Elephas maximus indicus: one gene and its partners. The protein of the gene in region 1 interacts with the protein of each later gene in a biochemical or structural test. Links are inferred from orthologs where the notes say so. Each region holds a gene or a part of one and is shown on either strand. Other genes may lie near its edges.

Region 1 (8,469 bases):
GGTGTCAGGCCAGTGCCATACGGCATCATAGGGCTGAAGATTGGGATCCCAGGGGTCATGGCACCCTACAGAAGCAGAGAAAGGGGGTCAGGCTAGCTGGTGTTTGGTGTCTGTGGGGCTCGCCCAGGTGGAACTGCAGGTGAGAATGTGCAGAGACCCTTCCAGTACCAACAGGCTCTTGGTGTGTGAGGGGGGTGAAGGAGGGGCCCCTGGTCTTCACAGCCTGCCCCTTCCATGCACCCTCTCTTTGCTGTGGTACCTGCGGGGAAGCCAGGCCCTGGGCATATGGCGGGAGGCTGTTGTTCTGATCCATGGTGTCACTTCTTGGCGGACCAGAAGTACCTGTGCTGACCTGCTCTCAGCACTCAGTCTTCTCCTGAGAGCATCACCAGCACAGTCTTCTCAGGAACTTCCTTCACTCTCTGAGTTATTATCTTCACGCGCACCAACAAGGTGATGCTACTCTGAAAAAGTGTGAAGTTTAGAGTGAGAACACAGGTGAGCTATATAGTACTACAAGCCAGGATCATGCTTATAAAAAAGCAGATAACAGAAAAACCAACCAATCAACCAACCAAGTGATTTTGGAATACATTTCTTTTTGTCTTATAATCCTGGAGCCTAATCCTTCCACGTTTCCTGTGACTGCAAACTTACCAAAAGCTTTATATCAATCTTTATTGAATTGATTTGTTACATTTTTAGGTTAATACTCTGATGTTGTTCAAAATTAAGGTGTCATAACAACCGTTAAAAACTTTTAGGGAAAAAACAGAGAAAATGAATTCCTGAGCAAAGTGTAGTATCAGTCCACAATCATTTACTAAGCACGGTACACACAGCATTGTCAGACCAAATTCAGGTTTTTAAGTATTCCACTCAGTTTTATCTTCCCCAATGCCCTGGGCATAAATACTGAGTTGGATAAATACATTTTAGTGTAATCATTATTGAGCTCCTACTTGAATAAGGGCTGTGACAGAAGCTGTACAAAGATATATAAAACATAGTCTTCTTGTAAACATAATAACCTTACCCCTTAAGAACACGTAAGTGCAGGATGTAAACTGTACCTATATCTGGCTTCTAAAAAATTATCATCTCTTTACTGGCTATACACTTGCCACACTCTTAGAGGAAAGAACCAAGACTGGTGGAAGATCTGTTCTGTTCAGCTCAGAGGGACCTGAAGCTTGCTCAGGGCTGCCATGGGAGCTAAGTGAATTAACACAGGACTGCTGGACTGGATCAGCACATCCAGAGCAGCATCCAGTTACCCTCCAGAACTGAGGGATGAGTGCTAGTAGTTCCTCCGAGAGTTCAGTTCAGATACTCATCACCATCTAATAAGACACCCGACGCAGAACTGACAGCTCTCAAAGGCGTGAGTCACACAACCAGAACCACCTGCACTCTGAGCCTAAGCCTGCCTGAGAGCAGGCACTCAGATGTCTGTGGAGCAAATGAAAGAACCTAACAATCTCTTTGAGAAGAAAAAAAGATCTCATATCCTACCAACTCATCACTGAAAAACAGACCAAACAAAACCTTAATAAAGTTAGAATTTAAAAACCGTCCTTTAAAAAATATATCAGAGAGAGAAAAAAAAATAGAATTTTCTCAACATTGTTATCCTATAATAGCAATAACATAAGAACTGCAGATATAAAGATGGAGAGGCACCAAAGAGTTCAACTGAAAGGGCATACACACGATCACTGCAAAATGCATCAAGTGCTCTAGCAGAAGCTACACACCAGCTAAGCTCCCGGAGCGCAGAGATCAGTATCTTTGTCTTTGCACGCACTGTACACTCAGTGTGCAATCCCAGGTGAACAAGGAGATGCGCACATGCTGTACATTCAGTGCACAATCGCAGGTGAACGAGGGGATGCACACGCTATTCACACTGCGTAATTGCAGGCCAACAAGGGGACGCACGCACACTATGGAAGACAAGACAAGACAGGCTAACTGCCAGTCACTCTGGAGATAGTGTTTTCACAAAGCAGGGACCATCTGATTTGGGTCTAGCAAGGTGAATAAGAATTTACAACTCAGCATTTTAGGAAAAAGGAAGGTCAGGCACAAAGACATGACAAGAGAGCATGCAATATGCAGCAACAAGAGCTGAGTATGGTTGAGTGAAAAGCAGCTGCAGGAGCTGTGACAGCAAATATAGTTAGGGCCACAGTGCCAAGAGTTCTAGACATTACAATACAGGCAATAAGAGTGGTTACAGGATTCTAAAATGCAGCCTGGGCAGATCTGTTTAGAAGGGCTCCCTGGTAAGTGTGGGTGAATCCTGGGAGCAAAACTGAAGGCTGAAGTTCAGTTTAAGGGCTCGTTGGTGTGGTTGAGGCAAGAGGTTAAGGGAGTAGGATTTAAAGCATTCATAAACACGACGACCTAGAAATTTGTCCATAATATTGGTGGCTCCAGGCCCCTTTTGGCAAACTAAGTCTGAAGAAGAAACCTAAGGAGATAGGTTGGGGGCTTCATGTCATAACATCAGAGCAAATGTCACTCCCATGATGGCACTTCCCCACCCAGTCATCATAAGGGCATCGTTATCTCTGCACTATCTTATATTTAGAGAAGCGTCTTAATCTTGTGGAAATGGAAGCATCAAATTCGATAGCTTTTGAAGGCAATCACTGATGAGGGAAGAGACCGATTATAGTTCTGCGGAGCCTGCTCGTGTCTGCATAACTCAATCAAGCATAACGTATAAGAGGCTTCTTTTCAGAGAGAAGCCTACCCGAAGTCTCAAACTGGAAAACCACGCTGGCCTGAGCCCAGGGATGTCGGCCTTGTGAATAAAGTAGTGTGCGTTTACATCGCAAGTCTCGGGCCTCCGACAAACGTTAGAATGTCCCAAGCACAACTGCCTAACGGAACCACCCCTACCGGTAGCCAAACGGCTCAGGGCCCGGCAACCTACACCCGAGGAGCGGCGGATGCAGACCGGGAAACGGCAGGTCTTCGCTCTTCGCCCCGGGCCCTCCAGGCGCCCCGCGCCCCTCCAGGCGCCCCGGGCCCGCACGACTGGGAGCCGCCGTCGGTCACGCCTGCTCGGGGGGCGGCAGCCGGGGCAGCATCCGCGCGGGGCCTGCGTCCCTCCGCGCCCGGTCCGCCATCGCCCGACAGTTCGCTGTGGCCGCCGCCTCTGCGCGAGACCCAGCATCCCGCACCCACAGCTCCCAGAGAACAGGAAAAGCGGGGACGTGGAAGGCTACTACCTGGAGTCCCTGCAGTGACCACCATCGCCCCGCAGGAACAAGCTCAGCCGCAGGCGGCCCAGGCGCCCGCCACGGCTACCCTGACCGATACTACCGAACTCCGCGCGCGCCGATGATGTCACTTCCGCCAGCTCTGCGCTCGGCTTCAACGAGCTACTCAGGCAGGAGCGGCGGCCATGGGAATTGTGGGCCTTACGTCACTTCCGTTTGTTGCCCTGGGACCAAGAGCTCTTCGGGGATTCTGGGGCGGGGCCGCTTTACCTGAACTTTCCTGATTGGTCATTGCCAGATGTGGGAAAATCATTGATTTTTAAATGTTGATTTTTTTTCTTCAACTAGCTAGCTGTGTGACCTTAAGCAAGTTACATGACTTTTCTGCCTCGGTTTCTTCTTCGTAAAGTGGGATGCTACTAGGTCTAACCTGTGCGGATGTTTTGAGGCGAATTAAGTCAATCCATGAGCAGTACCTGGGGCATGGCAAGCACTCGCTGTTGTTAGAGGATCTTCCTTAAACATATAGAATGACAGGAAAAAACAGCCCTTATTTACAAATTCAACTGTAATTTTAGTTCTGATACTCTCATCTTAGGAGCTCTGATGATACAGTGGTTAAGCGCTTGGCAGCTAGCCAAAAGGTTGGGGGTTCAAACCCACCAAACACTCCATAGGAGAAAGATACGGCAGCCTTTCTCCCATAAAGATTTACACCCTAGGAAACCCTATGGGGGCAGTTCTACTCTGTCATATAGGGTCACTATGAGTCAGAATCAACTTGATGGCAATGTCATCTTATGCAATCTTTTCATATTTGTCAGTAAGAGACTTTTGGTAGTTGTTTTTTAGCCTGTTTCTTCCTGGTGCTTGATCAGACTCCAGCCTACCTTGCTTTCTCCCTTCTACCGTTCGTTTAGTCACAATCATACCTTGTGCTGATTGATCTTGCCTATGTGCTTCCTTTATATTTTGTATTATCATAAGTGTGTAAGCTTCTTAAGGATAGGAAATGCATCTTTTTTTTTTTTCTAAACCATCGCGGTACCTGGCACGTGTTAGCATTTTGAGAGTCCTAACTATAGTATTTCTCTGTCCATAACCACCAATAAAATCATTTGATTTATCCTTTGTTATGAAGCCGTGCTGACATGGTGGTAGAGATCTATGACTGCTAACCAAAATGTAGGCAGTTTGAATCCACCACCCACTCCTTGGAAACCCTCTGGGGCAGTTCTTCTCTGTCGTATAGGATCGCTATGAGTTGGAACTGACTCAACAGCAACAGGTTTTTGATGGACTTTTTATCCTTTGTTTATAGTAAAATATAAAATTTTTTTAATATGGGAAGGTTTTAATTAAATAAGTACATTCTAAAAGTCTTTTCTGATTCCAAAATTACCTGTATCTGTGTCTAGTAGCCCACACGGGTCTGTCAGTTTGTCGTACTGTGGGGGCTTGCGTGTTGCTGTGATGCTAGAAGCTATGTCACCGGTATTCAAAAGCCAGCAGGGTCACCCATAGCAGACAGGTTTCAGCTGAGCTTCCAGAATAAGACTAGGAAGAACCTGGCGATCTACTGCTGAAAAAAATTACCCAGTGAAAACCTTATGAAGAGCAGTGGAACACTGTCTGATACACTCCCAGAAGATGAGCCCCTCAGGTTGGAAGGCACTCAAAAGATGACTGGGGAAGAGCTGCCTCCTCAAAGTAGAGTCGACCTTAATGACATGGATGGAGTCAAGCTTTCCGGACCTTCACTTGCTGATGTGGCATGAATCAAAATGAGAAGAAACAGCCGGAAACATTCATTAATAATTGGAATGTGGAATGCACAAAGGATGAATCTAGGAAAATTGGAAGTCGTCAAAAATTAAATGGAATCCACCTACATCAAAATCCTAGGCATTACTGAGCTGAAATGGACTGGTTTTGGCTATTTTAAACCAGACAATCATGTGGTTGACTATGCCGGGAATGACAACTTGAAGAGGAATGGCATTGCATTCAACATCAAAAAGAATATTTCAAGATCTATCCTGAAGTACAATTCTGTTAGTGATAGGATAATATCCATACGCCTACAAGGAAGACCAGTTAATACGATTATTGTTCAAATTTATGCACCAATCACTAAGGCCAAAGATGAAGAAATTGAAGATTTTTACTAACTTCTGCAGTCTGAAATTGATCAAACATGTAACCAGGATGCATTGATAATTACTGGCGATTGGAATGAGAAAGCTGAAAACAAAGAAGAGTCGATAGTTGGAAAATATGCCCTTGATGATAGAAATGACTCTGGAGATCCCATGATAGAATTTTGCAACAGAAACAACTTCTTCATTGCAAATATTTTTTTCAACAACATAAATGACAACTCTACAATGGACATCGCCTGATGAAATACACAGGAATCAGATCAACTACATCTGTGGAAAGAGACAATGGAAAAGCTCAATATCATCAGTCAGAACGAGGCCAGGGGCCAACTGTGGAACACACCATCACTTGCTCATATGCAAGTTTAAGTTGAAGCTGAAGAAAATTAGAACAAGTCCATGTGAGCCAAAGTAGGGCCTTGAGTATATCCCACCTGAATATAGAGACCATCTCAAGAATAAACTTGATGCTTTGAACACTAATGACCAAAGACCAGATGAGTTGTGGAGTGACATCAAGGACATCACACATGAAGAATGCGAGTGTCACTAAAAAGACAGAAAAGAAAGAAAAGACCAAATGGATGTCAGAAGAGACTCTGAAACTTGCTCTTGAACATCAAGTAGCTGAAGCAAATGGAAAAAATGATGAAGTATAACAGAAGATTTCAAAGCGGTGCTTGAGAACACAAAGTCAAGTATTATAATGACATGTGCAAAGACCTGGAGATAGAAAACCAGAAGGGAAGAACCGGCTTGGCATTTCTCAAGCTGAAAGATCTGAAGAAAAAATTCCAATCTCGAGTTGCAGTATTGAAGGATTCTACAGGAAAAATATTAAATGATGCAGGAAGCATCAAAAGAAGATGGAAGGAATATGCATAGTCACTATACCAAAAAGAATTCGTTGATATTCAATCATTCTGGAGGTAGCATATAATCAGGAACTGATGTTACTGAAGGAAGAGGTCCAAGCTGTACTAAAGGAATTGGAGAAAACAAGGCTCCAGGAATTGACAGAATACCAATTCAGATGTTTCAACAAATAGATGCAGCACTGGAGTGCTCATGAATCTATACTAAGAAATTTGGAAGACAACTACCTGGCTAACTGACTGGAAGAGATCCATATTTATGCCTATTCCCAAGAAAGGTGATCCAACCGAATGTGGAAATTATGGAACAATATCATTAATATCACATGTAAGTAAAATTTTGCTGAATATCATTTAAAAGTGGCTGTAGCAGTACATTGACAGGGAACTTCCAGAAATTCAAGCCAGGTTCAGATTTTTCAGAAGAGGACATGGAACCAGGGATGTCGTTGCTGATGTCAGATGGATTCTGGCTGAAAGCAGAGAGTATCAGAAAGATGTCTACCTGTGTTTTATTGACTATGCAAAGGCATTGAACTGTGTGAATCACAGCAAATTATGGATAAAATTGCGAAGAGTGGGAATTCCAGAACACTTGATTGTGCTCATGAGGAATCTGTACATAGATTGAAAGGCAGTTGTTTGAACAGAACAATGAGATATTGTGTGGTTTAAAGTCAGGAAAGGTGTGCATCGGGGTTGTGTCCTTTCACCATACCTATTCAATCTGTATGCTGAGCAAATAATCTCAGAAGCTGGACTATGTGAAGAGGAACCAGGCATCAGGATTGGAGGAAGACTCATTAACAACCTGTGATATGCAGATAACACAACTTTGCTTGCTGAAAGTGAAGAGGACTTGAAGCACTTACTGATGAAGATCAAAGACTAAAGCCTTCAGTATGGATTACACCTCAACATAAAGAAAACAAAAATCCTCACAACTGGACCAATAAGCAACATCCTGATAAATGGGGAAAAGGTTGAAAATGTCAAGGATTTCATTTTACTTGAAGCCACAACCAACACCCATGGAAGCAGCAGTTGACAAATCAAAAGACACAGTGCATTGGGCAAATCTGCTCAAAAACAGCTCTTTAAAGTGTTGAAAAGCAAAGATGTCACATTGAAGACTAAGGTGTGCCTGACCCAAGCCATGGTATTTTCAATTGCATCATATGCATGCAAAAGCTGGACAGTGAATAAGGAAGACCAAATAATTGACGCCTTTCAATTGCAGTGTTGGTAAAGAATATCGAATATACCATGGACTGCCAAAAGAGTGAACAAATGTGTCTTGGAAGAAGTACAGCCAGAAAGTTCCTTAGACTCAAGGATGATGAGACTGCGTCTCACATACTTTGGACATGTTGTCAGGAAGGATCAGCCCCTGGAGAAGAACATCATGCTTGGTAGAGGGTCAGCGAAAAAGAGGGAGACCCTCAATGAGATGAATTGATTACAGTGGCTGCAATTATGGGCTCAAGCATAACGATTGTGAGCATGGCGCAGGACCGGGCAGTGTTTAGCTCTGTGGTACGTAGGGTCGGTATGAGTTGGAACCTACTCAATGGCACCTAGCAACAACAACGACGGTGTGAACATTCTCACTCATGTCTTCTGGTTAGGGAATTCCCACAGGATCAGAGGTGCTGGGTCATAAGAGTTGTGCATCTTCAACCATTGTACGTGATGCCAATCTGTTTTAAAAGTGGCTGTACTAATTTATACTCCCACCAATTGTTGTTGGGTGCCATCAAGTCGGTCTGTGCAATAGACGGAAATACTACCCAATCCTGTGCCATCCTCACAATTATTGCTATGTTTGAGCCCATTATTGCAGCCACTGTGTCAATCCACCAACAGGGTTCTGGAATGTACAGGCTCTGCATGAGCACAATTAAGCATTCTGGAATTACCATTCTTTGCATTGTTGTCCATAATTTGTTATGATCCACACAGTCGAATGTCTTTACATAGTCAATACAACACAGGTAAACATCTTTCTGGTATTCTCTGCTTTCAGCCAAGATCCATCTGACATTAGTTATGACATCCTTCATTCCATGACCTTTTCTGAATCTGGCTTGAATTTCTGGAAGTTCCCTGTCAACCATTTTTGAATTATCTTCAGCATAATTTTACTTGCATGTGATATTAATGATAAACCAAAACATGTTGCCATCAAGTGGATTATGA
Region 2 (8,426 bases), about 230 Mb from region 1:
CTACTCTATCTTATGGGGTCACTATGAGTTGGAATTGACTCCATGGCAACAGGGTTTGGTTTAATGTTATTACTTAGTCTTGTTTACAGTACTATAATTTGATCATACAATCTGAAGGCACTATCACCATCTTGGAAAACCTGGTGGTGTAGCAGGTAAGTGCTGAGGCTGCTAAACAAAAGGTCAGCAGTTCAAAACCACCAGGCATTCCTTGGACACTCTATGAGGCAGTTCTACTCTGTCCTCTAGGGTCGCTATGAGTCAGAACTGACTCCGTGGCAACAGATTTGGACTTTTTTGGTTTATCACCATCTTTAATATAACTATTGAAAAACCAAAACATAAAAGGCACATACTCTGACATCCACTGAGCAGCCCACAGTCCACGATGGATTTCCCAGCACTTGATTTTGGCATAAGAGATGAACTAGTGAAGATTTGCCAACACCTGTAAAAGATACAACACTCTATTCAGGTAAGTGTAAGAGGCATGCTTGAAATCTATTCTGGCATGAATAAGATAGGAAATGTGCAAAAATAATGAGACGTAAAGCATGGCTGTTAAAAGGGTGTTCAAACTGTATCAACAATACAATAAACCTTATGAACAAGGTGAAAAAGATGGTCGAGGGAAATGGTCCTCAAATTCAGCATGCAGCAGAATCACCTGGAGGGCTTGTGAAAACAGACCTTGCTGGTTCCCACCCGGGAAGTTTCTGATTCAGCAGGTCTGTGGTGGGGACCAAGATGCTGCACTTTTAACAAGTTCCCAGGTGATGCTGATGCTACTTGTTTAGAGGCTTCCTTTTGAAAACCAATGGTCAAGGGAAATTTCATGTAAACTAAACCATTCCTTTTGAATGATTTCACCTAATTAGCCTGTTTTAGAATTATAACATCTTAATAGATCTTAGAGGTAATCTCCATCCTGAATACCAATTTAGAGGTCCCTTTCACAGGTCTTAGATGGTTAGATGGTCTTCCAGACTGTTCTTGAGCACTGTCAATGACAGGGGTTCACCTTTCACGATTTCCTATTTAGACACTCCAGTTCTCTAATATAGTGATTTAAAAAAGTCAGCCAACCACTTGGTGGAGACAATTCTACTCCCTCTTTTACATTCTGGTCCTTTACCTTAGACAATATTTTATCTTCTTTCAGGCCTCCTGGGCTCAGGGGTTACTAAGGCTAACGGCAGCATTCTGACATTTGTATGATGAGAAAAGGGAATGAACTCTCTTCCTACACCTGTCGGTGGAGTCATTCATTTAAGAGCATCCTGGGAACGCCGCATGCCAAGCACAGCTGGTGAATCTTTATGCGTCACTAGTTGTACTGAAGAGTTAGATCACCTCTGATGTGCGCTATCAAGTATCGACCTTTTGCTTATGTTTATTTTTATAAAAAGTTATATTTACAAAAAAATCTAGAAGACACTTATGTCTTCTCGAAGACAAAAGCACCTGAAGACCACTACTGTGTAGGTTTATCTAATCCCATAACCAGGGTTTTTCTATAAACATGTTATTGTGGTCATACATACAGTGCGTACTTAAAACAACAGCATCGCATGAATGTAATTCCTGTCACTGAATTGTACGTGAAGACTGCTGAAATGTCAGATATTTTGTTACATGTATACTTACCACGATAATAAACAAAATAAAATAAAAACATTTTAAGACTTCGTTTACACAGCTTGTTCTGTCTGGAATATTCTACTCCCTGTCCCCATCGGCCTGGTGAATTAATCTTTCAAGACTCAGTATTATTGCAATTGTGGTCTTTTCTGACTCCACACAGGTAGAGCTGAGCACAACATCCTGAGTCTTCATTGTACCCTGTATGTTTTCCTACAGAGCACTTAAAACATATCATTTGTTTGTTTATAGGTTTTATTCACTCTGTTCAGTTTTAAGCTTTTTGGGGTTTGTGGCTGTTTTACTCATCTTTTTATCTCCAGTACTCAGAACAGGGTCTTAATTAGTATTTACTTAGTGACTACATTTTTCCATGTTATTACAAAATCTTTATAAACATTTTTTATGTCTCCATAGTATTTCAGAAAGTAGACATAATAATTTACTTAACTACTCCCTTATTATTAGACACTTAGGGTTGTTTGAACTTTTCACTATCCTCAGAAAATCTTTGCTGCTTAAACTTTTGTTTAAAATTAGATTTCTGCGTATATCTCCCCAGAAGTGAATTTAAGAGTAAAAGGAAATGAACATTTAAAGTTCTTGATGTATCCTGACAAACACTTTCCATCTGGTTGCTGCCACTAGCCACAGGAGGCTGCGTGTCTTGTTCCACCTCAGCAGTGTCACGTAGTTGCTTTTTCAACTCTGTTAATTTGATGAGAGAAAAAGAAGTGACATCTTGTTTTAGTCTGCATTTCTTTACGTTCCGGTAAAGATATGTTTTTGTTCATCTTTGCTAATCAGTGGTTTTTCCTCTTTAATGAATTATCTGCTGATGTGTTCTGCCCATTTATCTACTAGGTTTTAGTCTTCCTGCCAATTTGTATGATCTATATATATATTTTTTTATATATATTAGAGACATTATCTCTCATGTAAAGGAATCAAACATTTTCCCAGGTTTCCTTTTATCCTATTTATTTATTTATTTACATACAGACATTTAAGATTTTTGAGTACTCAAAAGCCTAGCTTTGCCTTTGTATTTACTGCATTACAACTGATATTCACAAACTTTATAGGGTATATTGTTCATATTGGAGCCACATATCTGGGCATTTAGTTATCAGCTCAATAAAAGGCTTGAGCTTCTAGTTTTTGCTTAATTGTGTCAGGGTAAATATTTCTCTGCAGCAATACCGTATAGCTCTCCATAAATTAACTGCTTTGGTGGGTAAATCTTAGTTAACACTAGATAAAACTCTAAATAGTAAGAACAGTTGAAGTGCTAGGAACAGTAGCCAACTATTTATTTCTTTAAAAAATTTGGAAGGTTCTGATTTGAACTAAAGTAGATCGAAAGAATGAACTAAACTTGCTGGCAAGAAAAAAAGAACCAAAAATAATTAAATAGATGCCAGCTCCAAATGTAGGTGTCATATATTAAAATCACCCTGAACCTCTGAAAGAAGAAAGAGAATACAGTATGTATGTGTTGGTGAGATTTTCAAGATACTTTACTAAATTATCAAATATCTCTATAGGGTACAAAGCAAGTCTCTAAATTCCAAGTCATTCCTTTATATGCTTGTGAAATCCTCAAAATTTTATGGGGGGAATAAGCCTTTATTCAAAAATAAACTTTGAAGTTTGAATACAAAGGCAGATAAAGTATAAATGGTATATTCTAACCTGTCAGATAGGAAACTGCAGTTAAAAGGGAACTGATGAAGGCAATAACTGACTCTGCACATGTAGTCTAACGTTAGTGAATGTGTGACAAGATTAAACACTTTCCTGGTGGGCAAGGCTGTGTCTTCTGTTTTTCAGCTAAACTATGACAGGGAAAAAAAAGCATACTAATTGCCTGGTTACTTTTCCACATTTTACACAGCATATAATCTACCCCTGTTAATGTATTTCATTGATTTCACAGTTAAAACTCTAGCACCTAATACAGTGCCTGGTATGTAGTTGGCACTTAAGTATTAAAAAAAAAAAAATCAACCTACTAGTTTCAACAGTATTTAACATGAAGGATTCTTTAGATGCAATAGAAAGAGAGAAATACAGACTACAGAGACAACACCGTTCTTCACACGTCATGCAGAACTGTTGCCAACAGCTCTGTATTGCAGTCCTAAATCCAATGTGGTGACACTCTTGCCAGGGCCCCTTCATGTCATTACCTTCTTCATCTGTGAAAATGAAGCCACTCTATTAAATTAACTTCAGTACTACTTCAAAGTTTCATGAAGAACTGGAGCTGACATAAATTGGTTTATTCTCATAGAATTTCCTACCGGAACTTTCTTAGGGGAGTATTGAATGCTCTCTGTAAAATATCTGACAATGCAAATAATCTTCAGGCAATGTGAAAACGTTTCCCCCACCTCCAAATCTATATAGAGTTTCTGTAAGACTAGTTTTCAAGCTCTTTGAGGTATGTCCTCTCTACCTCCAAGCATCTGGCAGTGTCTTTACTCACAGCACACACACAAAAGGTCAACTTCAGAAAAGCACATCTAGGAAACACAAGATAAGCATTTTTTCCAAGTTCTTAAGGAGTATGGGACTAGGAGTTGTGGTGAAGAAAAGCTGAGGTGGGGGACGGGATGCAGACTTCAATTTTAGTTCTCAAATGTCCAAGGTGTCAAAAGAATTTTAATATTAAGATTAAATCTGGGCTCACCACTAAGTCCTAGCTACATCAAAATGTGGCCTTTATCTTAATTTCTCTATTATTCACAACCTAGCACACAGGAGGGATCAGCCCCCGCAGAAGGACATCATACTTGGTAGAGGGTCAGCAAAATAGAGGAAGACCCTCAATTAGAGGGATTGACAAGGTGGCTGCAACAATGGGTTCAAGCTTAACAACGATTGTGAAGATGGCACAGGACCGGGCAGTGTTTCTTTCTATTGTGCATAGGGTCGCTATGAGTCGGAGCAGACTCGACGGCACCTAACGACAACAGCACACAATAGGTTTTCAATTAAGAAAAAACTAGAACAAGAAATCAAGAAGCCTCGTTGAGAGTAAAACAGGAGGGCCACCGTATATTTCATTTCATAATATAGCTTGGCGTTCAATCCAGTTTGCCGTTTACATCTCTCTGCCTTACTTTCCTATCTGTAAAATGGACTAATAGGGCTGTTCTCAGGATTAAATCAGTTAATATATGCAAAGCGCTTGGAATAGGGTTCTGAGTACCTTGAGGTCATGCTTGTACTAATTTCCGTACAATACTCAAGATCTGGTATCTTTCAAAACAAAAGAATCGATAATACGCTCTAAACTAGCGTACCCCGGGAGACAGTCAAACGGAGCAAAGTCCTCTGGGAAATGTAGTCTTTAGGCTTTGAGAACTACTTCATCCACGGGCCGAAGAGCCAGGAAGTTGGGGGGTTAACAGTGAAGAGGGACGGTTATCAGATAACTCAAAAGTGTCGGGAGCCCCAGAGATGGGTCTGAACCACTCACCTGAGTCCCCCAACACCAGCACCTTCACCCGATCTAGGGAAGCCATCTTGCCACTGCCTTCCGTTGGTTAACGCCTCTTCCGGGACTCTAGGCCAATCAGAGCTAAGCATGGAAGGCAGAGCCTTCAAATTTCATTGGCCAGTCAGAGCGTGACCGTCCTGATTGAAGGTTTCACTGTGCTGATTGGCCGGCCTGGGTAAATGCAGCATGCGAGCTCCAAAGCTGGTCGCAGGAATAATGCGTGTTCGTCGTCGCGCAGGTGGCGTGCTCCTTTAAGCCGGTAGTTGAGGCGCTGAGGGAAGCTGTAGTAGGATTGTTCGAGGATTCTCTTCGGTAAACCTCGTTCCCAGTTCCTTGTTCCCGGTTCCCTGGCCCGCCGTGGCATTTCAGGCTTTCTCCTCCTTTCCATTCCTCCTGTCTTAACTATCCTCTTTTCCTTTGCTTCTCTCCTGATTTGGTCCTCTTCTTGGTCCGCCAAAGAACCATTGACCCTGGAGTGGCCCGGGTGCGAGCTCGGGTATGGCTGCGCCGAGTTATGTCCACTGGACTCAACTGGGAGAGTGTTTGGGAGTTTGGGGTCCTGGGGTCTCACAGTGGGAAGGAGCAGGCGTTACTGAACGGGTCGCTAGGAGGGCAGCTGGGCCCGGAGGTTTCGCTGCAATATGCCTGTTTACATATGGAGGGCGCGGAGAGTGCGGTGAAATATGGCAACAGAGAAAATCGCAGCTAGATGTGTAGAACCCCAGTTCTTCTAGAACTGGAATGAATAGCAGTATACTGAGATAGTCTAACAGAACTCTCGCATCCTCCCCTTTTTCCTTCCCTCCACCCTCTAGTCAATGTAATCTTTTAAAATGCGAACTTGATCTGTCACTCCTGCTTAAAACCATTTTAAGTTTAACAAGAGGGTAGGCGGTAGCCTGTTCTTTTCCATTGTGGAAACAGGAGTGGGAAAAGTGAATTGGGAAGCTGACAGGGTGGGCATGTTGGAAGAACACGTGCCTAGGAGATCTAATGAAAGTTTTATGGAAGTACTTCACTAGCTGTGCTGGGTGCTGGGGATTCAATGATAAAACAGTGCCTGCTCTCAGTTTACTGATTTGGGGATTGGGAGAGATAGACATAGAGAAAGTACAAGACTGTCGAGTGCAGCTAAGTAGAAGGGGGAGAGAGGTATGGGAACGTGTGAAAGGGGATCATCCTAACTTAACCATGGGGAATTTGGGAAGGCCTCTCTGAGGAAATGTTATTTGAGACTTGAAGGAGTAAAAGAAAGAGGTTTGGGTTTAGCTTTGGGGGCAGAGGGAACTGCTTGTGAAAAGGCCCTGAAGTGGAGAAAGCATGCGTGGCTCATGAAATTGAGAAGATACCAGTTTGGCTGGAGATGAGGCTGACAAGGACAGGGCAGAAAGTGCATATCTTTCAACTTTGTTTCTCCAGCTCTGTGCCTGGTACTCAACTATTTGTATGATTGGAATAAACCAAAAAAACCAAACCAGTTACCATTGAGTTGATTCCAACTCATGGCAACCCCATGTGTGTAGGACTAGAACTGTACTTCACAGGGTTTTCCAATGCTTGGTTTTTTTTTTTTTTTTTTTTTTTAATTACCAGGCCTTTCTTCTGAGGTACCTCTGGGTGGACTTGAACCTCCAATCATTTGGTTAGCACCTGAGTGCGTTACTGTTTGCACCACCCAGGGACTCCATGATTGGAATGCTGTTGTTAGGTGCCCTCGAGTCGATTTCAACTCATAGTAACCCCGTGTGACAGAGTAAAACTGCCACTTAGGGTTTCCCAGGCTGTAATCTTTATAGGAGCAGATTGCCAGGTCTTTCTCTCATGGAGTCTGAATGGGTTCACACTTCCAGCCTTCGAGTAGCTGAACGCTTAACCATCGTGCCACCAGAAACACATGGAATACAGAAAACAAAACCAAATTGCCCTTGGGTGTCTGGGGTAGTTATAGCTAGGGAGACAGGTGAGGCTGGAAGTGACTGATGGACTACGAGGACGAAGAGAAAAAACAAGCTGACTCTGAGAGGTCCCACACTCAAAAGTCTCTAGAGGCCAGCCAAGCCCCTTCCCTGTCTGAAAGTATCAACTGGTATTTAGCTGGTCGCTGTGAGTCGAAATCGATTTGACAGTGGTGGATTTGGTTTTTGGGTTTTGTTTCCTTGTGATAATGTGGTCTCTTTTTTTTTCCTCAGGTATTTTAAAGAGGGGCTGAAAGTAAAAACTTATGTGAAATCTCATAATTTTAAAATGTTGATTACTGTAATTCAGAATTTTTTTTCAAAACATTCGTTGGGTCAAATAATGTATGTGGGCTGCCAGCTTGAGGTCTCTGATCTAAGCTGTTGCCCTTGAGTTGATTCTGACTCATAACGACCGGATAGGACAGAGTGGAACTGCTCCATAGGGTTTCCAAGGAGTGTCTAGTGGCTTCAAACTGCTGACCTTTTGGTTAGTAGCCTTAGCTCTTAAACCACTACGCTACCAGAGATGGTAGAAGACTCTGCAGAAGTGGGGAAGTGGAAGTGATGGAGGAAAGAAGGCAGAATTTGTTGGGAAGGAGGATTTCAGAATGCAGAGATTTTGAGTACAGTGGCCCAGCCTGGCTTCTTTCCTGAGCTCTAGTTTCATTTGTTCAGCTATCTGCTAGACATCCTCACAGGAATATCTGGTGGTATTTCCTCAGAGACAGCATTTAAAATGAAGGCTTCATCCGTTCCAGACCTGCTCCTCTTCAGACGTTACTTATATCTCATGGTAGTACTTCTCTCTTCCTTTTTGCACTGGCTCAAAACAGCTATTTTTAGCTTTTCCTCCTCTAATATCCAATTTCCAATATATTGTTAGGTTCTTTTGACTTTATTTCCCTAATAGATTTCATTTATCCTGTCCTTTTCTTGCAGTTTTGTGTTCTTCCTTAGTTTGGGTTTGGTTACTGTAGCTCATAATTCTGCCAGAGTGCCTGCACCTTCCCTCACTTCAGTCAAGTCCTCATGTTGCTGCAAGAGTCTCTTTTCTACATAGGGAGTCTTATTAATGAATGCTGGAGTCCCAGGGTGGTGCAGATGGTTAAGACGCTCAGCTGCTAATTGAAAGGTTGGAGGTTCAAGTCTACCCAGAGGCAGCTTGGAAGAAAGGCCTGGCAATCTACTTCCAAAAAATCATCCATTGATAACCCTGTAGAGCACAGTTCTGCTCTGACACACATTGGGTTGCCATGAGTCCAAATCAACTGGATGGCAACTGGTGTTTTATTATGATGCCAGGACTTAATCCAGCTCCC
Region 3 (7,636 bases), on another chromosome or scaffold:
TAAACAATATTGTTTGATGATTTCTGCATTCTGTTGGATCACCTTTCTGTGGAATGGGCACAAATATGAATCACTTCTAGTTGGTTGGCCAGGTAGCTGTCTTCCAAATTTCTTGGCATACAAGAGTGAGCATCTCCAGCGCTGCATCCCTTTGTTGAAACATCTCAATTGGCGTTGTGCCAATTCATGGAGCTTAGTTTTTTGCCAGTGCCTTCAGTGCAGCTTGAACTTCTTCCTTCAATACCACTGGTTCTTGTTCATATGCTACCTCCTTAAACAGTTGAACGACTACCAATACTTTTTGGTACAATGACTGTGTGTATTCCTTCCATCTGCTTTTGATGATTCCTGCATTGTTCAATATTTTGCACATAGAATCCTTCAAAATTGCAATTTAAGGTTTGAATTTTTTCTTCAGTTCTTTCAGCTTGAGAAATGACAAGAATGTTCATCCCTTTTGGTTTTCTAACTCCAAGTCTTTGCACATTTTATAATATTTTACTTTGTCTTTTTGAGCTGCCCTTTGACATCTTCTCCTCAGCTCTTTTACTTCACTGTTTCTTCCATCCACTTTAGCTACTCTATGTTCAAGAGCAAGTTCAAGAGTCTCTTCTGACATCCATTTTGGTCTTTTCTTTCTTTCCTGTCTTTTTTATGACCTTTTGCTTTTTTCATGCAGGATGTCCTTGATGTCATCTCACAACTTGTCTGGTGTTTGGTCATTAGTGTTCAATGCATCAAGTCTATTCTTGAGATGGTCTCTATATTCAGGTGGGATAAACTCAAAGTCATACTCTGGCTCTCATAGACTTGTTTTAGTTTTTTTCGAGTTCAACTTGAACTTGCATATGAGCAATAGATGGCCTATTCCACAGTCGGCCCCTGGCTTTGTTCTGACAGATGATATTGAGCTTTTCCATCATTTCTTTCCACAGATGTAGTCAATATGATTCCTGTGTTTTCCATCTGGTGAAGTTCATGTGTAAAGTAGCCATTTATGTTGCTGAAAAAATATATTTGCAATCAAGAAGTCATTGGTCTTGCAAAATTCTATCATGGGATCTCCAGTGTCACTTCTATTACCATAGCCATATTTTCCAACTACTGACCCTCCTTTGTTTCCAACTTTTGCATTTCAATTTCCAGTAGTTATCAATGCATCTTGATTGCATGTTTGATCAATTTCAGTCTGCAGAAGTTGGTAAAAATCTTCAATTTCCATCTTTGGCATTAGCGGTTGGTGGGTAAATTTGAATAATAGTCGTATTAACTGGTCTCCCTTGTAGGCGTGTGGATATTATCCTATCACTGACAGCATTTTACTTCAGGATAGATCTTGAAATGTTCTCTTTAATGACGACTGTGATGGTATTCCTCTTTGTCATTCCTGGCATAGTAGACCATATGATTATCTGATTCAAAATGGCCAATACCATTCATTTCAGCTCACTAACGTCTAGGATTGCAATGTTATGTGTCCCATTTCATTTCTGACGACTTCCAGTTTTACTAGATTCATACTCCACACATTCCACATTTGGATTATTAATGGATGTTTACAGCTGTTTCTTCTGAGTCATGCCATTTCAGCAAATGAAGGTCCCAAAAGCTTGTCTCCACTCACATCATGAAGGTCGATTCTACTTTGAGGCGGCAGCTCTTCCTCAGTCATATTTTGAGTGCCTACCAACCTGAGGGGCTCATCTTCTGGCACTATATCAAACAATGTTCTGCTGCTATTCATATGGTTTTCACTGCTCAATTTTTTTCAGAAGCAGACTGCCAGGTCCTTCTTCCCAGTCTGTCTTAGTCTGGAAGCTCCACCGAAACCTGTCCACCAAGGGTGACCCTGCTGGTATTTGAAATACCGGTAGGAAAGCTTCCAGTATCACCATAACATTCAAGCCACCACAATACAACAAACTGACAGATGCATCAGTTTCTTTAGTGAGGTCAAATATGCCTATTAGACCACAGAACCATATATTTCTCCATCACAATATTTATGACAGTATGTCCTAATTCATTGAGAGCATAATTCATTTTTCTTAGTCACTTAGTTATCTAGTGCTGCTATACCACAATTGGATGGCTTTAACAAACAGAAGTCTATTTTTTCACAGTAAAGTAGGCTAAAAGTCCAAATTCAGGGTGTCAGCTCCAGGGGAAGGCTTTCTCTCTCTGTCAGCCTTCTCATCAATGTTCCCCCAGACTAGAAGCTTCTTTGCGCAGGGACCCCAGATCCAAAGGACGTGCTCTGCTCCCAGCACCTCCTTCTTGGTGGTATGAAGTCCCCCTGTCTCTCTGCTTGCTTCTTTATTTTATATCTCAAGAGATTGCCTCAAGACAAAATCCAATCTTGTAGGTTGAGTCCTGCTTCACTAACACAACTGCCACCCGTGCTCCCTCATTAACATCATAGAGGCAGGATTTACAACATATAGGAAAATCACAATTGGGTCCAGCCCAATCGATACACACATTTTTGGGGGGGAAATAATTCAATCTAAAGGAGAGACAGTCACCCATTGTCTCTCCTTTACTAGCACAATTCCTGGCACATAGTGAAAAGGAAAAAAAAATTTTTTTTTCTTTTCACAATTCCTGGCACATAGTAGGTACCCCAAAAATATCTGCTGAATAAATTAATGTATGATAATCAGCCAAGGAATCCTGAATGATGTGGCATTTAAGCTGGGCTCTGTCAATTTGGTATTATTGGAGAATAAGGTGGAGGGAGATGATAAGGGACATTGTGAAGAACAAACTTTAACTGTATCTGTTGAAAGATTTAGATATAGGTGGTAAGGGAGTTGAAGATGATTCCTAAGTTGATCTGAAGAATGTATCTGGAAACTGGTTGAACCGCAACAGGGTGAGATTTCAATTAAAGAAAATGATGAGTTCAATTTTTTGTTGCACTGAATTTGGGATAAGCTTACCAGGTGGGAATGGCTTGAAGGCATTTTGAAATGTAGAAGTGGATCTGATGTGAGGCAGCATCTAGGCATTTTAATCTGGATGTCCTTCTGCTCCTGACAAGCGAACAACTCCTTTGTCTGTGTTCACTGTCTTAGTTAACTGCACCCACAGAAACAGTCAGAAATCTTGAGGCCACCCTAGATTGTTTTCTCTCTCCCCTAGTGTCTTAACCACTTCTACCATCATCTATATTTTCTCTCTTCTCTCCATTGCCACAGCTGCTTCCCTGGTTCATTTCAACAACTTTCTAACTACTCTCCCCAAATCCAGTCTTTGATAAACTGTTTATCAAGTCTTTATGATTTGATCCCAAACTTCCTGAACTTCACCTTCAGCTGCTTTTCCTTGTTCCGACATACCAAAAGCAACCAAACCAAACCCGTTGCCTACATGTCGATTCTGACTCATGGCAAACGCATGTGTTTCAAAGTAGAACTGCTCAATAGGGTTTTCTTGGCTATGAGTCAGAATCAACTTGATGGTAACAAGCTTCTTTTTGTTTTTTAATTTTTTACAGTAGCAGTTCACCAGGCCTTTCTTCAGTAGAGCAGCTGGGTGAGTTGGAACTGCCAACCTTTAGGTTAGCAGCCAACTGTGATCTGCTTGAGCTTCCCAAGCACCTTCTAATCATACCAGACACCTTCTATTCTTAAACACCTCCTGTCCTAAGTGCTTCCCTTCTTCCTAGCTTCCTTCTTTCCACTAAGGGATAACAAAGTTTTACTGAGGAAAGGACATTATACTGCCTAGCCTGAGAGACAAATTAAAAAATAAAAAAGTCCAAGGAAACTCTTAGCCTCTAAGTCCCAACTTAAATGTGGCCTCCTGAAGCTTTCCCCTCTGGGAAAATTTAGATAGTCCTATTGGGTTATCTCTTCTAGTTTACTGAAATTCTTAGCCCAAAGTTAGCTGTCTTTCCATAAATGAAGTTTACTATTTGGCATATTTAATCTTGAGACCATGACTGCCCGAAGAAGGAACAACTCTTCCTTTGAAGAGGTACAGCCAGAATTCTCCTTAGAAGCAAAGATAACCAAGACTTCTTTCATGTACTTTGGACATGTAATCAGGAGGGACCAGTCCCTGGAGAAAGACATCATGCTTGGTAGAGGGTGAGCAAAAAGACAAAGACCCTCAACCAGACAGACTGAAGTGGCTGCAAAAATGGACTCAAACATAGCGAGGGTCATGAGAATGGCACAGGATTGGGTAGTGTTGCATTCTACTGTAGGCAGGGTCCCTATGCGTCAGAATCCACTCAAGGGCACATAACAACAATAATTCTTGAGACAGTCTAGCTACAAACAGTTTGACTACACCTTATTTGTTCTCACACCTCTTCCTGCGCTGGAGAGATGTATCCACAAAGGAATACTCCCTTTGACCTCACGAAGATGGCTACTGGAGAGCATCGTTACGTTCTACGTCATCACGTGCTGGGAGGAGGGTGGAGCCCTCAAGGGAGACGGAGTGAAGGGGCGGGTCCAAAAGGATGGGGCGGGGCTCTTCTGGGCGGGGCGGGCCCGTCAGGGGTCGGGGGCGATTCTGCTATTCGGCCGGCGCGTTCGGCGGCGGGAGGCAGTTCAGGGAGAGTCTACTCAAAGCTCGTCCCGAGAGTTTACCTAGGAACGAGGCCCAGATTTGAGGCAGCCGCATAGCCGAGCGGAAGCGGGTTGCACCCAGGACTGGCGGCCGGCTCCCGAGCTCCGCGGGCGGGAAGCACCTAGGAGCGGGGAAGCCCCGGGAGCAGCGCGGCGGCGCCTCCCTCACCCAGGGGGCCGCCGCGCCGGTCACGGGGCGCCGCACCACCGAGCGCAACCCAGGCCGGCGCTCCAACCTGCCGGCTCAGGCTCCTCCTCCGTCTGCCGCCTCACCTGCAGGCAGCGCCGCGCCGCCTCCGCCGGTGTAGACGGCACCTGCGTCCCCTCGCTAGCAGGTCTCCGCCGCTCTGCCCCCGGCGCCAAACACGGGCGCCCCCGGCCACGGGTTGTCTGGACGGGCCGGGGCTGCGGGAGGCGAGGCGCAGGGGGCGCAGCGCCCTCGCCACCGCGCAGGGGAGGACGCAGGTGGAGCGGGCGCGGCTTCACGGAACCCGGCGCCGGCCGCCTGGCAGCCCGCCCGCCCGCCGGCCTGCCTGCCATCGTCCCGGCCGCCGCCGGGCCCCAGGGACCGGGCCGCCTCACACCGGGCACCATGAACAGCAGCAGCGCCAACATCACCTACGCCAGTCGCAAGCGGCGGAAACCGGTGCAGAAAACGTGAGTGTCCGGAGCGGCGTCCTCGGTGCGGGGACTGGGTGCCGGTGCACGCGGGTGCGGGTCCTACCGTGGTGGCGGGAGGCGGCCCCACCACGCCCCTCAGTCCCCGCGTTCGGGGAGATTAGGTCTATTCCCGACACAGCCCATGGAATCAAGATTTGGTTGGTCGAGAGACCGAGGGCTTGGATTTTTTCTGTATTACACTTGAAGGATCCCCCCTACCCACCCTGTCACCAGCGCACACGCACCCACTTACACTCCCACACCTTTGCAGCTCTTGTTCTCTTTTCTGTGGTCCCAATTTGTTGACAGTTTTGGCCAGCCCCTTGGTGCTGGCGTATTAGCTAACATTAGTCTGTCTTGGAATACCCTTAGACTTTTAATATCCACATCAGTTAGCTTAGAGGACTGTCATAATTCTCGGAGGAGACTGAGAGCTTGGTAGGATGAAAAGTTTTGAAAGAGGCAAGCACGTGCGGTTTTGAAGAAAGGGGCTGAGTGTTTCTGAAGGCATTTTTTTGAGCTAGAGCAACTGGTGTTCTGTTGCACTCTTACGTCCAACGTGTCTAGATCGGTAGTGTAAAGGAATAGTAGCAGGTGTGAGTGAGTGTAGTGGACAGATACAGTGGGGGATTTGTAGTCTCAGTAATCTTTTGAGGAAACTTTCTCATTTTTGTGGTGGCTTGGGGCTCTATAAAAGATTTGAAACTAGATTTATCGAGGGAGACGTTTTCTTGGCATCTTCCTCTAATTTCCTTTCTTCCCTACTTCAAAGTTTTGTCAATTCTAGCAGAGTGATTCCAAATTTGGAGTTTTTGTTTAGGTGGAATATTTGTATGAGATGGCAAATACTTTAGAACAGTTTTTTTCCAGGAAAGAAAAATGTATGCTTGAGACAGATTTCCTGTTGTGATTTGTATGTCTTCATGTGTTTACTCCTAATTATTATCTCTGAGTTCCTTGAAATCACCTACATCTTTCAAATTTTCCTAGACAGTTTTAAAGACATATTAAAAATCTATTCAGCGAATCAGAGCACATTTGTTTAAAACTTGACTTAAGAACCAAAATAAATAAATAAATAACACTTCTAGGGTTTATATTTAAAAAGTTGTTGGTTGGAAAGTTTCATTAATTTATAGACTTTTAATTTCCATTCAGATTTCAGCGATGATTTAAAAAATAACCCAGTGCCGTCGTGTCGATTCCGACTCATAGCGACTCTATAGGACAGAGTAGAACTGCTCCATAGGGTTTCCAAGGAGCGCTTGGCGGATTCGAACTGGCGACCCTTTGGTTAACAGCGGTAGCACTTAACCACTACGCCACCCAGCGATGATAGTTCCTCAAATCTAGATGTATAAATTGGCATTCAGAGGATATTAGACCATTTTGTAAATACTCTTTGTTTAAAATTTTGAAAGTGTTACCTATAGTGTGTCTCATTTTAAGAATATTGCCTAGTCAGCACTTTTCTGTCTTGGGAGCTCTGCAGCATTGTTACAATATTTGACATTTTGTAGAATGGTTTCTTCTATAAAAATGTATTTGTTTAATTTGATGTTGTCCTTGATAGTTAAAATTGGGAGGCACCCAGAATGCCTGTTCTCCATAGCTGCTAATACAGTAGCATGCTGAGCATTGTATATAATAAAGGCATCGTGAGTTTTATTTGTGTGATCTGAAAAGGTGACAGCCTCACTGTTGGGTTTTTAAGATATTGAGCTTCAGTCAGTGTGTTACCCAGGGACCTAGGTAACTTTTTTTCCCCTCCTACTTTTAATTAAATGCTTTAGTTTGTGTTCATTATAAAATGTAATGTTTTTGGTTTCTAGTTAATGTTTTGTTAATGATCTTTTCTTTTAGTGTGTTAAATTTTCCTTTTACTTACGTAAAATGTACCTTTTATTGTAGTATTTTAATATTTTAGTCTACTTCCTAAGGCTTTAATATACATTATTGAATTAGTTCTCATATTACAATGTAACTAAAGCATTTTTCTCATATACCCTCATTTTATATTATCAGGTGGTGTAGATGTTTATCATGCCTTTACTGAGTACCGTGCATTGCTTCTGATTGTATAAATGCCTTATAGTGACACCAAATTGCTCTATAAGAAAAGACTAGCGCTGGTGTTTAAATAGTAAAATGAAATTGTTTATAAAACATTTTTACCAGAATAAAAAATGGTTAACTCAGTTAAAGTGAATATTGACCTTATGAATGAGGTCATTAAACCTAATATTAAGTTTAATACGAGTTTTTTAGTTAAATTACTACTTTGTGGATAATGGGCCTTGAAACATGCCAACATATTCACAGGAGAAATTCATCTTGTTTGATCTAAAAATGTTATTCACATCTCTTTAACTTGATCCCTTAAGTGATTGATA

The links. The genes of interacting proteins can lie anywhere in the genome.
Region 2: the proteins of TBP (region 1) and GTF2E1 form a complex in vitro, tested with the Homo sapiens proteins (3 studies listed by BioGRID). The link is inferred for Elephas maximus indicus from reciprocal best matches to the Homo sapiens genes TBP and GTF2E1.
Region 3: the proteins of TBP (region 1) and AHR form a complex in vitro, tested with the Homo sapiens proteins (2 studies listed by BioGRID). The link is inferred for Elephas maximus indicus from reciprocal best matches to the Homo sapiens genes TBP and AHR.

The regions. Positions count from the first base shown.
Region 1 is NC_064819.1:243,766,676-243,775,144, reverse strand, and holds the start of TBP (TATA-box-binding protein), read right to left. Parts: upstream 3,342-8,469; 5' UTR 3,243-3,341; intron 465-3,242; exon of another isoform or gene 460-464; 5' UTR 314-459; coding exon 260-313; intron 66-259; coding exon 1-65. UniProt on the Homo sapiens protein: The TFIID basal transcription factor complex plays a major role in the initiation of RNA polymerase II (Pol II)-dependent transcription.
Region 2 is NC_064819.1:11,349,787-11,358,212, forward strand, and holds the start of GTF2E1 (general transcription factor IIE subunit 1), read left to right. Parts: upstream 1-5,302; 5' UTR 5,303-5,461; intron 5,462-8,426. Other genes in the region: RABL3 (rab-like protein 3), read right to left, coding at 357-448, 5,129-5,174.
Region 3 is NC_064826.1:78,122,971-78,130,606, forward strand, and holds the start of AHR (aryl hydrocarbon receptor), read left to right. Parts: upstream 1-4,512; 5' UTR 4,513-5,175; coding exon 5,176-5,240; intron 5,241-7,636. UniProt on the Homo sapiens protein: Ligand-activated transcription factor that enables cells to adapt to changing conditions by sensing compounds from the environment, diet, microbiome and cellular metabolism, and which plays important roles in development, immunity and cancer.